Canis lupus familiaris: one gene and its partners. The protein of the gene in region 3 binds, or shares a complex with, the protein of the main gene of each other region. Links are inferred from orthologs where the notes say so. Each region holds a gene or a part of one and is shown on either strand. Other genes may lie near its edges.

What was found. The genes of interacting proteins can lie anywhere in the genome.
Region 1: KAT5 (region 3) and MORF4L1 share a complex: the UniProt entries of both Homo sapiens proteins name them as parts of the nuA4 histone acetyltransferase complex. The link is inferred for Canis lupus familiaris from reciprocal best matches to the Homo sapiens genes KAT5 and MORF4L1.
Region 2: KAT5 (region 3) and MBTD1 share a complex: the UniProt entries of both Homo sapiens proteins name them as parts of the nuA4 histone acetyltransferase complex. The link is inferred for Canis lupus familiaris from reciprocal best matches to the Homo sapiens genes KAT5 and MBTD1.

The regions. Positions count from the first base shown.
Region 1 is NC_049224.1:58,633,774-58,637,428, forward strand, and holds part of MORF4L1 (mortality factor 4-like protein 1), read right to left. Parts: intron 2,257-3,655; coding exon 2,210-2,256; intron 638-2,209; coding exon 570-637; intron 1-569. UniProt on the Homo sapiens protein: Component of the NuA4 histone acetyltransferase (HAT) complex which is involved in transcriptional activation of select genes principally by acetylation of nucleosomal histones H4 and H2A.
Region 2 is NC_049230.1:26,979,981-26,983,635, forward strand, and holds part of MBTD1 (MBT domain-containing protein 1), read right to left. Parts: intron 2,776-3,655; coding exon 2,641-2,775; intron 2,380-2,640; coding exon 2,291-2,379; intron 2,077-2,290; coding exon 1,842-2,076; intron 1,233-1,841; coding exon 1,177-1,232; intron 833-1,176; coding exon 728-832; intron 1-727. UniProt on the Homo sapiens protein: Chromatin reader component of the NuA4 histone acetyltransferase complex, a multiprotein complex involved in transcriptional activation of select genes principally by acetylation of nucleosomal histones H4 and H2A.
Region 3 is NC_049239.1:52,003,469-52,006,272, reverse strand, and holds part of KAT5 (histone acetyltransferase KAT5), read left to right. Parts: coding exon 1-74; intron 75-151; coding exon 152-241; intron 242-1,613; coding exon 1,614-1,754; intron 1,755-1,832; coding exon 1,833-1,926; intron 1,927-2,701; exon of another isoform or gene 2,702-2,804. UniProt on the Homo sapiens protein: Catalytic subunit of the NuA4 histone acetyltransferase complex, a multiprotein complex involved in transcriptional activation of select genes principally by acetylation of nucleosomal histones H2A and H4.

The DNA of each region.
Region 1 (3,655 bases), on a different chromosome or scaffold from region 3:
CACTCCCGGTAACAACAGATCAGTACAACACTCCTTAAAAAAAAAAAAAAAAGTCTAATAACTCTTCAAGGTGAAACATTAGGTTGTGTAATTAAATTTCTGTATCTGTATTAATATTCTAAAAAGTGAACCATATGAAATCACTCTCTGCCTAATTTGTTACCAAAGCTCAGAATATAAAAGTTGGTCATTACTTCCTAATCAGGCAACCTTATCCTTTTTCCTTTTCTAGGCAGGAAAATCCAACTAGCTCTGAGTATAACTGTTTGCAATAACATATAGTAAATGAATTTGTGCTGAGGCAAAAAACTCAAGCTGTACTAAGATGTACCAAAACCAGAAAAATAGTTGGATGCCTAACAATTATTAGACATTCTACTAGAACAGATATAATCCAAAGAATTCAAAATGAAATGGCTGTGTAACCTCGTTTCTATTACTTTCTTCATACTACAAATGCAATACCCTTGCTTTGATAAATGTATTAGGTTAAAACCATGACACACAGGACACAAGCTACCTTGTTAGAAATAAAACATTGCTCTTAAAGATCTAATACTAATACTCACTTTTTATTCCAACCACTGTAATGTATAAAGTATTTCACTTGTTTGTCCTTTATGGCAACCTTTACACACTGAAATAAAAAAGAAAAAGTTCACTCAGAAATATGTTTTGAAAAAGACAACCATCACGTGTGCTTTTCAAGTATGCGATCTTTCAGAGACACTCCTTTCAGACTGATGGCCAAATCGAGCACAACAAAATGTGACTCTCACAGAGGCAGGAGTTCAAGCTCCGGGCTCCTCACATTCATCACCAGTCATAAAGATGCTCAGAGTCACCATCTGTTGGATCCAGTCTAGCAAAGCTGAAAACCCCCTAAGAGGTCACCCTGACGCTTAAATCAATGGGCTCAGCACTCCAAGAACGGCTAATTAAAGCCGTGTTTGCACTTTCTCAAAGTCTACCAACCAGAAGCCATTATGTATTTCAAAAACAAACTTAGCTAAAGAAAATTATTTATACCAAATTATTAAAAAGTGTCATTTACCTATGGAAGGCAATCAACTGTTTCTGCTGCAGAATATCAGCAACTAGCCAAGTGACAGATGAAAAACATTTTATGTTCTTAAAAGAAGCCAAATTAGAATGAATTATGAGGAAATCATTAACTATGACAAGCAATCACTACTCGTTCTGGATTAAGTCTATCCTGAGTAAACCAAGAGAACCATGATAGTTTAAGCCATCCCAACAGCCATTTAAAAATCATTCCCTGGAGTTTCTGCTGCCTGAGGGAAAAAATCTGCCAGGTTAGTGGAGGTGACACAACAAAGTAACATTCAGAGATATAAACGATTGATAGAATTCACAACTTACGGAGTGTTAGTATGACATCATTAAAACATAAAGTTACCAGATTCTCCATGAATCCATATTCAGCCATTTTAGAACTTTAAAAACACACATCTATGTATTTGAAACAACTGAGAAATCGTAAAAACAGTTATTATTTGGTCACATGGGCACTTCAAGATTAAGACCATTTTCAAACATATAAATACCAAAGATGCTGTAGAAATTGTATTTAACTAAATGCTTTATTATTTTATATACTGTTTTTAAAAATTATGTGTTAAAAACAGTCACAACATATTTGCATTGAAAGCAGAAACAATATACTTTTAGAAATCTGTTTTACTTGGGAACACATCATCTCATTTACCTCCGGCTAAATGTAAAATCAGTTCTGACTGCGGGACCACAGCACTGATACAGAGGAAAGGAAGCCCCTGGGGTTCAAACTCTGACAGACAAACCAGCAAGTTCAATGTTGTCACATTTTTTAATGTTCACGTTTATCTTTAACGCAGCCATGTTAGTTTAGAGCTCACTCAGCATCATTTACACCCAAAACTGACTGGCAGTATTTTCTCACAAGTCACTAAGTACACAATGCACTTGCTCCACAAACAACCAGGCTTTTACCTTTCCCCTCAAATACTCCCTCCAGCTGCTGGGCCATCAGCAGGTCACAAGGTAAAAGACAAGGTGGCAATACTGTACCTGACCCATTCGGACTCTATGGACTACCAATCTGAAAAAGGCAACTAACTCTCTTCCTACCAACCACTGAAATCTGATGCTCAAAAGTCATCTGACCAGTCATTTCAGCTAACTTCTCAAAGGAAAACAGATTTCATACCTTTGCTTCATAAAGAAGAGGCCCATGAAAGCACAGTACTCGCTCACCTGTAAGAGTAAAAAAAAAAAAAAAAAAAAAAAAAAGAAAAAAAATGCCAGGTTAATTTTAATTTCTCTTCATACCTAAGGGTCACGTGGGAGGGTCATCATGTGTTCCCATGTATTCCTTGAAACACTGGCAGAGTATGGCTATGTACAGATTAATACTTCAGGTCAAACTTCAATAGTACCTTACAACAAAAAAATCACCTTCATACACATTGTAAACAGAAAAAAAAATTGAGTAGAATGTCAATCTATGTAGATCATCAAATCATCTAACACCTTATAAACCAATAAAATCCACTGTATCAACCTTTTGGCAGGATTTGGATTTTTCAATATCTGAAGAACACAATTTTTTAAATATTTCCTGATTTTTTAAAATTAGTTGGGAGAGAGAGAACTCATGGGTATGGGCCACCAGAGGGGAGGGGCAAAGAGAGAATCCTCAAGCAGATTCCATGCTGAGCACAGAGCCTGATGCTGGGCTCCACAGCAGGACCCCGAGATCATGATCTGAGCCAAAATCAAGAGTGAGATGCTTAACCAACTGAGTCACCCAGGGGCCCCTAAAATATTTCCATATTTAGAACCCTATAATCTCCCTATTATCTTCTCCTTCCAAACCTTTTACTGGCCAACTAAAATAAGAATTCTAACTTTCGGAAATCATACTCTATGTCAAACCTACAGTTAAGACTTGCAAGAGTAACTAAATGTAAGGGATTAAGATGTGGAAGCCAACTTGGCTCATCAGACAATCAGGCAGTGAATTCCTGGCAGACCTGAAGATCACTTTCAATTACTATAGAAATGGATTTTCTTGCACGTTATTTTCAGTCCCCTTGGATTTCATCAGACCCAAAGATAACAAAAGTACTCCACCACAAACAGCTCTTTCAGCTCTAAAATCGTTAAAAATGACCTACTAGTTCAACATTTTTTTTAAAGATTTTGAGAGAGTAGCGCACATTGGAAGAGGAAGAGGGGAAGAGGAAGGAGACTCCCTGCTGAGCAAGGAGCCTGAGATCATGACTTGAGCCAAAGTCAGATGCTTAACCTACCCAGGCACCTCCAGCTCAACTCTTAAAACTATAGGGCAATAAGGTTTTCACCAATTTATTGTTTTTTTAAAGATTTTATTTATTTACTCCTGAGAGAGAGAGAGAGGCAGAGACATAGGCATAGGGGGAAGCAGGCTGCCTGCAGGTGAGCCCTATGAAAGGGAAGCAACCAGTACAAAAGCATAGAAACATGACAAGGAAACACTATTAGGCTACCTACCATTTAAGTATAAATAGTTCACTATCACTGGATAACATATGAAAGTAGAAATCAAAGCTACACAGATCACGGAGTCCCACGTTATGAAGTCTGGACTTTATCCTGTGAGGATTCCCAAATG
Region 2 (3,655 bases), on a different chromosome or scaffold from region 3:
GCATTTAAGAGGTCTGGTCACCTGTATTTTTCTTTAAGTTTCCCAAGGTATTCTGATGCCTACTTAAATTGAAAACCACACTTCTTGATTTTTTCACAAAAGCAGCTTCACAAGAGAAGAAGAAAAAAAAGAAGAAATAAAGTACTATCAAAAGAATAATAAAGGCACAAAAGGAAATAAACTGGAAACTGAAGATAAACTTGGCCTAGTCACAATTCTGTGTTGGGGGCACCTGGGTGCCTCTGTCGGTAAGTGTCTGCCTTCAGCTATGGTCATGATCTTGGGGTCCTGGGAATGAGCCCCATGTTGGGCTCCCTGTTCATCAAGGAGTCTGCTTCTCCTCTCTCTGCCCCTCTCCTCTGCTCATACTCTTTCTCTCTCTAATAAATAAAATCTTTACAAAAAACTCCCAAAACAAAAAAATAATTCTCTGTTGGATTAGCTTTGAGCAGAAAGTAACTTAAATATTCTTCCTCTTAACTCAAGATATATGTATTTCCATAAATAAAGGCAGCAGACTCAAGATGACAATCTTGACAAGCCACATAAAAACACTGGTATGAAAATTGAAATTTATTTTGAAATTACTAGTATCCTTCTCCCTAGTGAAGATCCAGATACATACACCTTGTATGTCAAAATGAGTATATTAAGGGCCTCTTCCTCCTATTACCTTAAGACCAGTTCTTACAAATGCATTTCTGTATTTTAAAACCTATAGTCTTACCTTTCTAATAGTCGCGACACATATTGTGGAAAGATTTAATGGGTCTATAGCTTCCAATTTCATTCCTTCCTTGAACCATTCCCCACTCTGGTCTACTTCTTTTACCTAAAGAATTACATGAAAGCACATCCACCATTACAAATGTTATCATTTTAATAATTAAAATATTACCAAACTGAAAATGTTTATCAGATGAAAATACCAAAATGCCTTTTCCTACCTACCTAATATTATAACTCAAACCTCCGTTAGAGAATATAGAGAATTCAGGCAAATAGACAGAATTTAAGAGTAATTATAATCAATAGTTGTGACACCTATGGATCACAAGGTCTTAATCCTTTTATAAGTGAACAAATATAATTGTGATTTCCATTATTTTAGGAAAAAACCCACAACCCTCTTTCAAACCTAATTTACAAATGAGGGTTCTTATAAAAACTTCTTACCTTAGCAAATAAATGTGGTGGTGTATCAAAATGTCCATCCTGTTTCTTTGTAATATCTACAAGGAAAAGTTACATACTAATCTGTCAGCATTTGTGAGAAGACCAAAACCACGTTTCTTTGAAGGTTTCAAACCCACAAGGTATGTATACTCTAAAACACGGCAGAAATACATGCCTTCTACATATATGGTGAAAAATATCCTCTATAGTCTTTCTTTCTTCTGAGTACATGTGCTATTAAATACATTCAGCCAATCAGAATGCTGGTAATTCCCTAGTTAGGGAATCACAACTTTAGAAGTATTCTTTACGTGTGTTCAGTATTAAGTCTAACCACATTTAATCTTCCTCTTTTGATTAAAACTGAATGCAAAGGGAATGGCTACCTTTAGATCTTTCAAATGGGCTGAACAGGAAAAGTGTAAGACAATGTAGTTGTGATGAAAAGTACATTATATTTGAATTGAGAACAAGTGGAAGGAATATAAATATATTAGGACACTCATATTCTGGTGTGAACCTTCCCTAAATTAAGATAGAATGAGCAGCCCAGATAACTAGAATGCTATTTCTGATCTCTACTATTCTGTAGAGAAAAAATAACCAAGTAGTACAATTTAGCTTCAATGATGTTTTCAACAGGTGGTCTTGTGACAAGTGCTTACCAGATCTTTTGAATCGATGGCCTATGCTTCGAGACCAACCAATATGATGGATTAACGGGCTGTGCATATGGCACCAGAAGTCATCTGTTCTATCTTCACTCTCTTCATACACTAGTCTTAATCTTCCTCCAATTACACTTTCCACCACTGCCACGCGTGTGCGACACAAATGCCTCTTGTCAACCACTTCTACTCTCATGCAAGGTTTGAAAGGATACTGCATACTCTCTGAAACCTTAAATAAAAACAGACAAAAACTGTTTGGAATTCATGACAAAGGTCTACAAATAATTTCAGTACTGTACCATTAAAAATAATGAGTGCACTTGACATTTAACTAGATCATCTGGCTCACTAAATTAAAACAATTCCTTAAAAAAACTTCCAGGCTATTCCTTTTTTAGAGCTCTCAATTGACACTTCAGTCCTTTCTAAGATCCTGTCTTTACCTTCTGTGAGAAATCGGGAGGAAGTGTTTTGGCACCAGTAAGTCGTTTCACTAGAAAAGCTTTCCAGTTTGTATACTTATGCTGAATAGCTAAAACAAAAGAAATAACCAGTTACACTTTAGCAAAGAGTAGAATTGCTTTATAAACTATTTTTTTCAAAAAAAAAACCACAACAATTTTCCCTGCAATTCAGAGCATTAAGGTTCTGAAGAAGACTAACAAAAACAGAACAAATATGTCTTGCCAGTATTTAAGTTACATGAAACCAAAAAATATTGTAATTTTGATATCACTTGAATATTATTCTGTGTGACACTGCACTGAGGTACACATATTTAAATTATACTTACTTCTAGGAGGGACAAGAGGTTTTCCACTGGCTGCACACCAGCCAACCGGATGGATGTCAGAGCCACAGACATTGCACCAGAAATCTAGCCCAGGGTCATTTTCAAATCCTTCATATCTTAAAAGGGCATTATAACCTGAAACCAACAAATCAATCACCACATAAGAAGAAAATGAAATGAAACAAAACAGGACACAACTGCTGGCCATTGGGTGGGTGGGTGTCACTTGCTAATATGCACCTGCAACAGAATCCCATGCAGGGCATGTGAGCAGTCAGCACCACCAGCCCCCTGCCCCGCCCCCAACTCTAAGACTGAGTTACTAGGTCTAGGGGCAGTGTGAGAATATGCATTTCTAACAAGTCCCCAGGTGAAGCTGCAGATACTAGTGTATGGCTCCAACTTTGAGAACCAGTTGTTTAATGTCATTAGCTTAATTGTTTTCAGAGCATGGCTTCCTCCCTTTTAATGTACTTTGATTTTACCCCCAGTTTCTTAAGTTCTAGAGAAGAAATTCTCAGTGGAAACAGGGGAGAAAGTCCTACCAGAATGTGTAGTTTTGAAAATAAAAGAAAGAAGGTTATATTAAGTTAGGAAAACCTTGTCAAGTCACAGCAATATAGTTAAAGTAACATTTCAAAGAAACTGCTTTATCCAGCGGATTAGATGACCAAATATTTTTGGATAATTTGGATTTGGCTATCTCAAGCATCTAATTTTTTCTGTACTATTTATTTGGAAATAAAATGTGAAAATGCTAGGTAACAAAGTTCAATAAACACAAATAAAAGTATGTTAAATGACTTAAAAACTGTATGTACTAAGCAAACAGGACGTCTTACTTTTTAGAACAAAAACTATGATATATCCTCTTTATAATTTAATAAACCTTCTGTTGGTAACAGATTACAATTTAATTTAAGGCCTTCAGGGGAATAAAAAAAGGCCCAACAAACTATTCCAGGCGCGGAGCTAAGTTCAGTCAGCATTTTCATGTGTTAAGATCTATGATGAA
Region 3 (2,804 bases):
CATTGCCCGTCCTCTACCTCTGCGAGTTCTGCCTCAAATACGGCCGTAGTCTCAAGTGTCTGCAGCGTCACTTGGTATGAAGGGTCCAAGGAGGTTGCTTTACTACCATCCCCCACCCTGTCCCTGCCTCTGATCCTCCTCTCTTCCTCAGACCAAGTGTGACCTGCGACACCCCCCAGGCAATGAGATTTACCGCAAGGGTACCATCTCTTTCTTTGAGATTGATGGACGGAAGAACAAGGTCTGTGGCTGAGGGGCAGTGGGGAGTCATTGGCACTGGTGGTCTGGGGGAAGTTAAACGAGCAGCTTTTTCCTGCTCAGGAAAATACTAGGCAGTCTGGCCAACAGATTAGCTCATTCCATTTTTATTGAGTTTCTGCTGTGAGGTAGTTAGTGGGAGGTATAAAGATGACCAGTAATTAGAATCTTTGAGTTCACAGTTCATGGCAAAAACAGATCTGCCAACATCCACTCAGATCCCAGGGATAAGTGTCATGAAACAAAGGATGGGTTATCAGGACCCAGAGGTAGCCAGCAGTTTCACATAGGAGATGATCTTTGATCCTTAACATGAAGGATAAGATAGGTAAGGGAAGCCCAAGGAGTGGGGTTCTGAAGGGCAGTCGTGGATGTACAGATGGTGGGAAAGGTAAAGATCATTCTGGCTGAGAAGCAGAGAGGATGAGGCAAGGCTGTTCCAAGATACAGAGCTCAGGTGGGGAGAAGGTGGCCAGTTGGGGGAGGAGTAGGGGTCACTGCAGGTTTTGGGCTTCAAACCTGCCTTAGTCTGTGGGAAGGAAGAAGGGAGTAATCTGGACCGTTAAGACTGTGGGACCATTCCTGGGGCAAAGAGGGGGCAGTAAGGGAGAAGCAGGGCATCTTGAATTACAGGGTAGAGCTCTGGCCTGGGTGCTGAGGAAGCTCAAGGGAAGGAGGCTGCTTTCACTACTGTTCTGTGTGGACTTGGGCATCCTGATGGCCCAGCATCTGGCTAAAAAGTCATGCCTCATATGCAGAAAATGTGTATAGAGGTAAAGCAAAGCAGCAAGATGAATCCTTTTGGTGGGGAGACCCCTAAGGCAGTTACTTTCAGTTTCAGAACACCTGATCTCCATTGTAGGTTAGGAGATCAGTCTCCAGTATGTGTGACTGGAGGCGGGAGAGTTTTGTGGTTTTTATTTTTTATTTTTTTTTATTTTTATTTTTTTAGTTTTGTGGTTTTTAAAAGGTAGATTCCTAAGACTGTCACCAGGGTAGAGGTCCTCTCCTAAGCCTTGGCAGTGTCTTTCTAGACATGCCACAACCTACTGACTTTTGTTACTGCAGCAGAGAGCAGTGGAAACCCCCCAGACAAGACTTAGGGGGAGGTATGGGGAACAGGGGTAAACTTGCCCAGCTCACCAGCAAGACAGGAGGTCAGACACTATCACAGAGCTGGTACATGGGCTCCTTGACTCTGAGAATTAGCTCTGCCTGAGTAGGAGGGACAGCCTAATAGAACGGGTCAGGTGCCAGGGAGGAAGACTCATCATCTATCAGCCCTGGGTAAAGAAACCAAATGACCACATTTAAGACAGGGTACCCAGAGTGGTGACACGCCTTTTCCTTTGCAGAGTTATTCCCAGAACCTGTGTCTTTTGGCCAAGTGTTTCCTCGACCACAAGACATTGTACTATGATACAGATCCCTTCCTCTTCTATGTCATGACAGAGTATGATTGCAAGGGCTTCCACATCGTCGGCTACTTCTCCAAGGTGAGTGCTCATCCAGATCATCTCTTGGCCCTGCCCTGAGCTGTGTCCCCTCCTCACTCACCTTCCTCCCCTTTCCAGGAAAAGGAATCCACAGAAGACTACAATGTGGCCTGCATCCTGACCCTGCCTCCCTACCAGCGCCGGGGCTACGGCAAGCTGCTGATCGAGTTCAGTGAGTAGTACCTTTGCTCCCGGCCAGGGGCCCCGGGGTGGGTACATGCGGGCCCAGGCTCAGTGCCAGTGCTGCCATTGTGCCTCCCTTGTAGACAAGCTAGGTTGCTATGATTGTTAACCCTGCTGTCACCAGGGTAGCTGGCCAGAAATAAAGGTGGGACTCTCCCAAGGCTTTCTCCATTCTCAGGGCAACTACCCTGCTTGTCTGGGCTAGGTTTTCAGCTCCTCACTCTTCCTTGGGTGAGGTTCTAAGCACCACCCAACTTTTCACAAATCTGACTCATATGCTCCCATCCAGGGAGCCATCAGCAGAAACCAGGTGAGCCACTGTTGCTCATCTGCCTGGTTCTGTGCCACCATAGAAATTCCTAAGTGAGGACCAGTGCTTCATATGCCACCATACAAATTCCTGAGTGAGGACCAGTGCTTCATTATCCCAGCTGTAACCTGAGCCTTGCAGATAGTGGATGCTCAAAATGCTAAAGTGATGTTAACTCAGCAAAAATAAGGAAGCACTGATTTGTGTGGATTTGGTCTCTGCTCCTTGGATTCAGGCAGGTCAGTCTCTTAAAGCCCACAAGGGACTCTGCCCCTCATCATCCGTGAACTCTTCTATGTCCCCCACCCGCAAGGCCCCCTTTTGCTTCCCAGCATCTTACATCACTCCACTCAACTCACCACTCACTGAACCCTTGGGATAGTTAAGTTCTGACCTGAGAGACAGGAGGGAGCCTTAGCTGTTTGGTGAAGTCACAGTGGCTTGACTTGATAAGGTCATGATCCATTTGAGTTATTTTATTAATAGAATGATGCCAAGATGGGGTCACATTCTCAGGAAGCCCTCAGCCTGATATGTGGGCGGATACTTAAAATGAA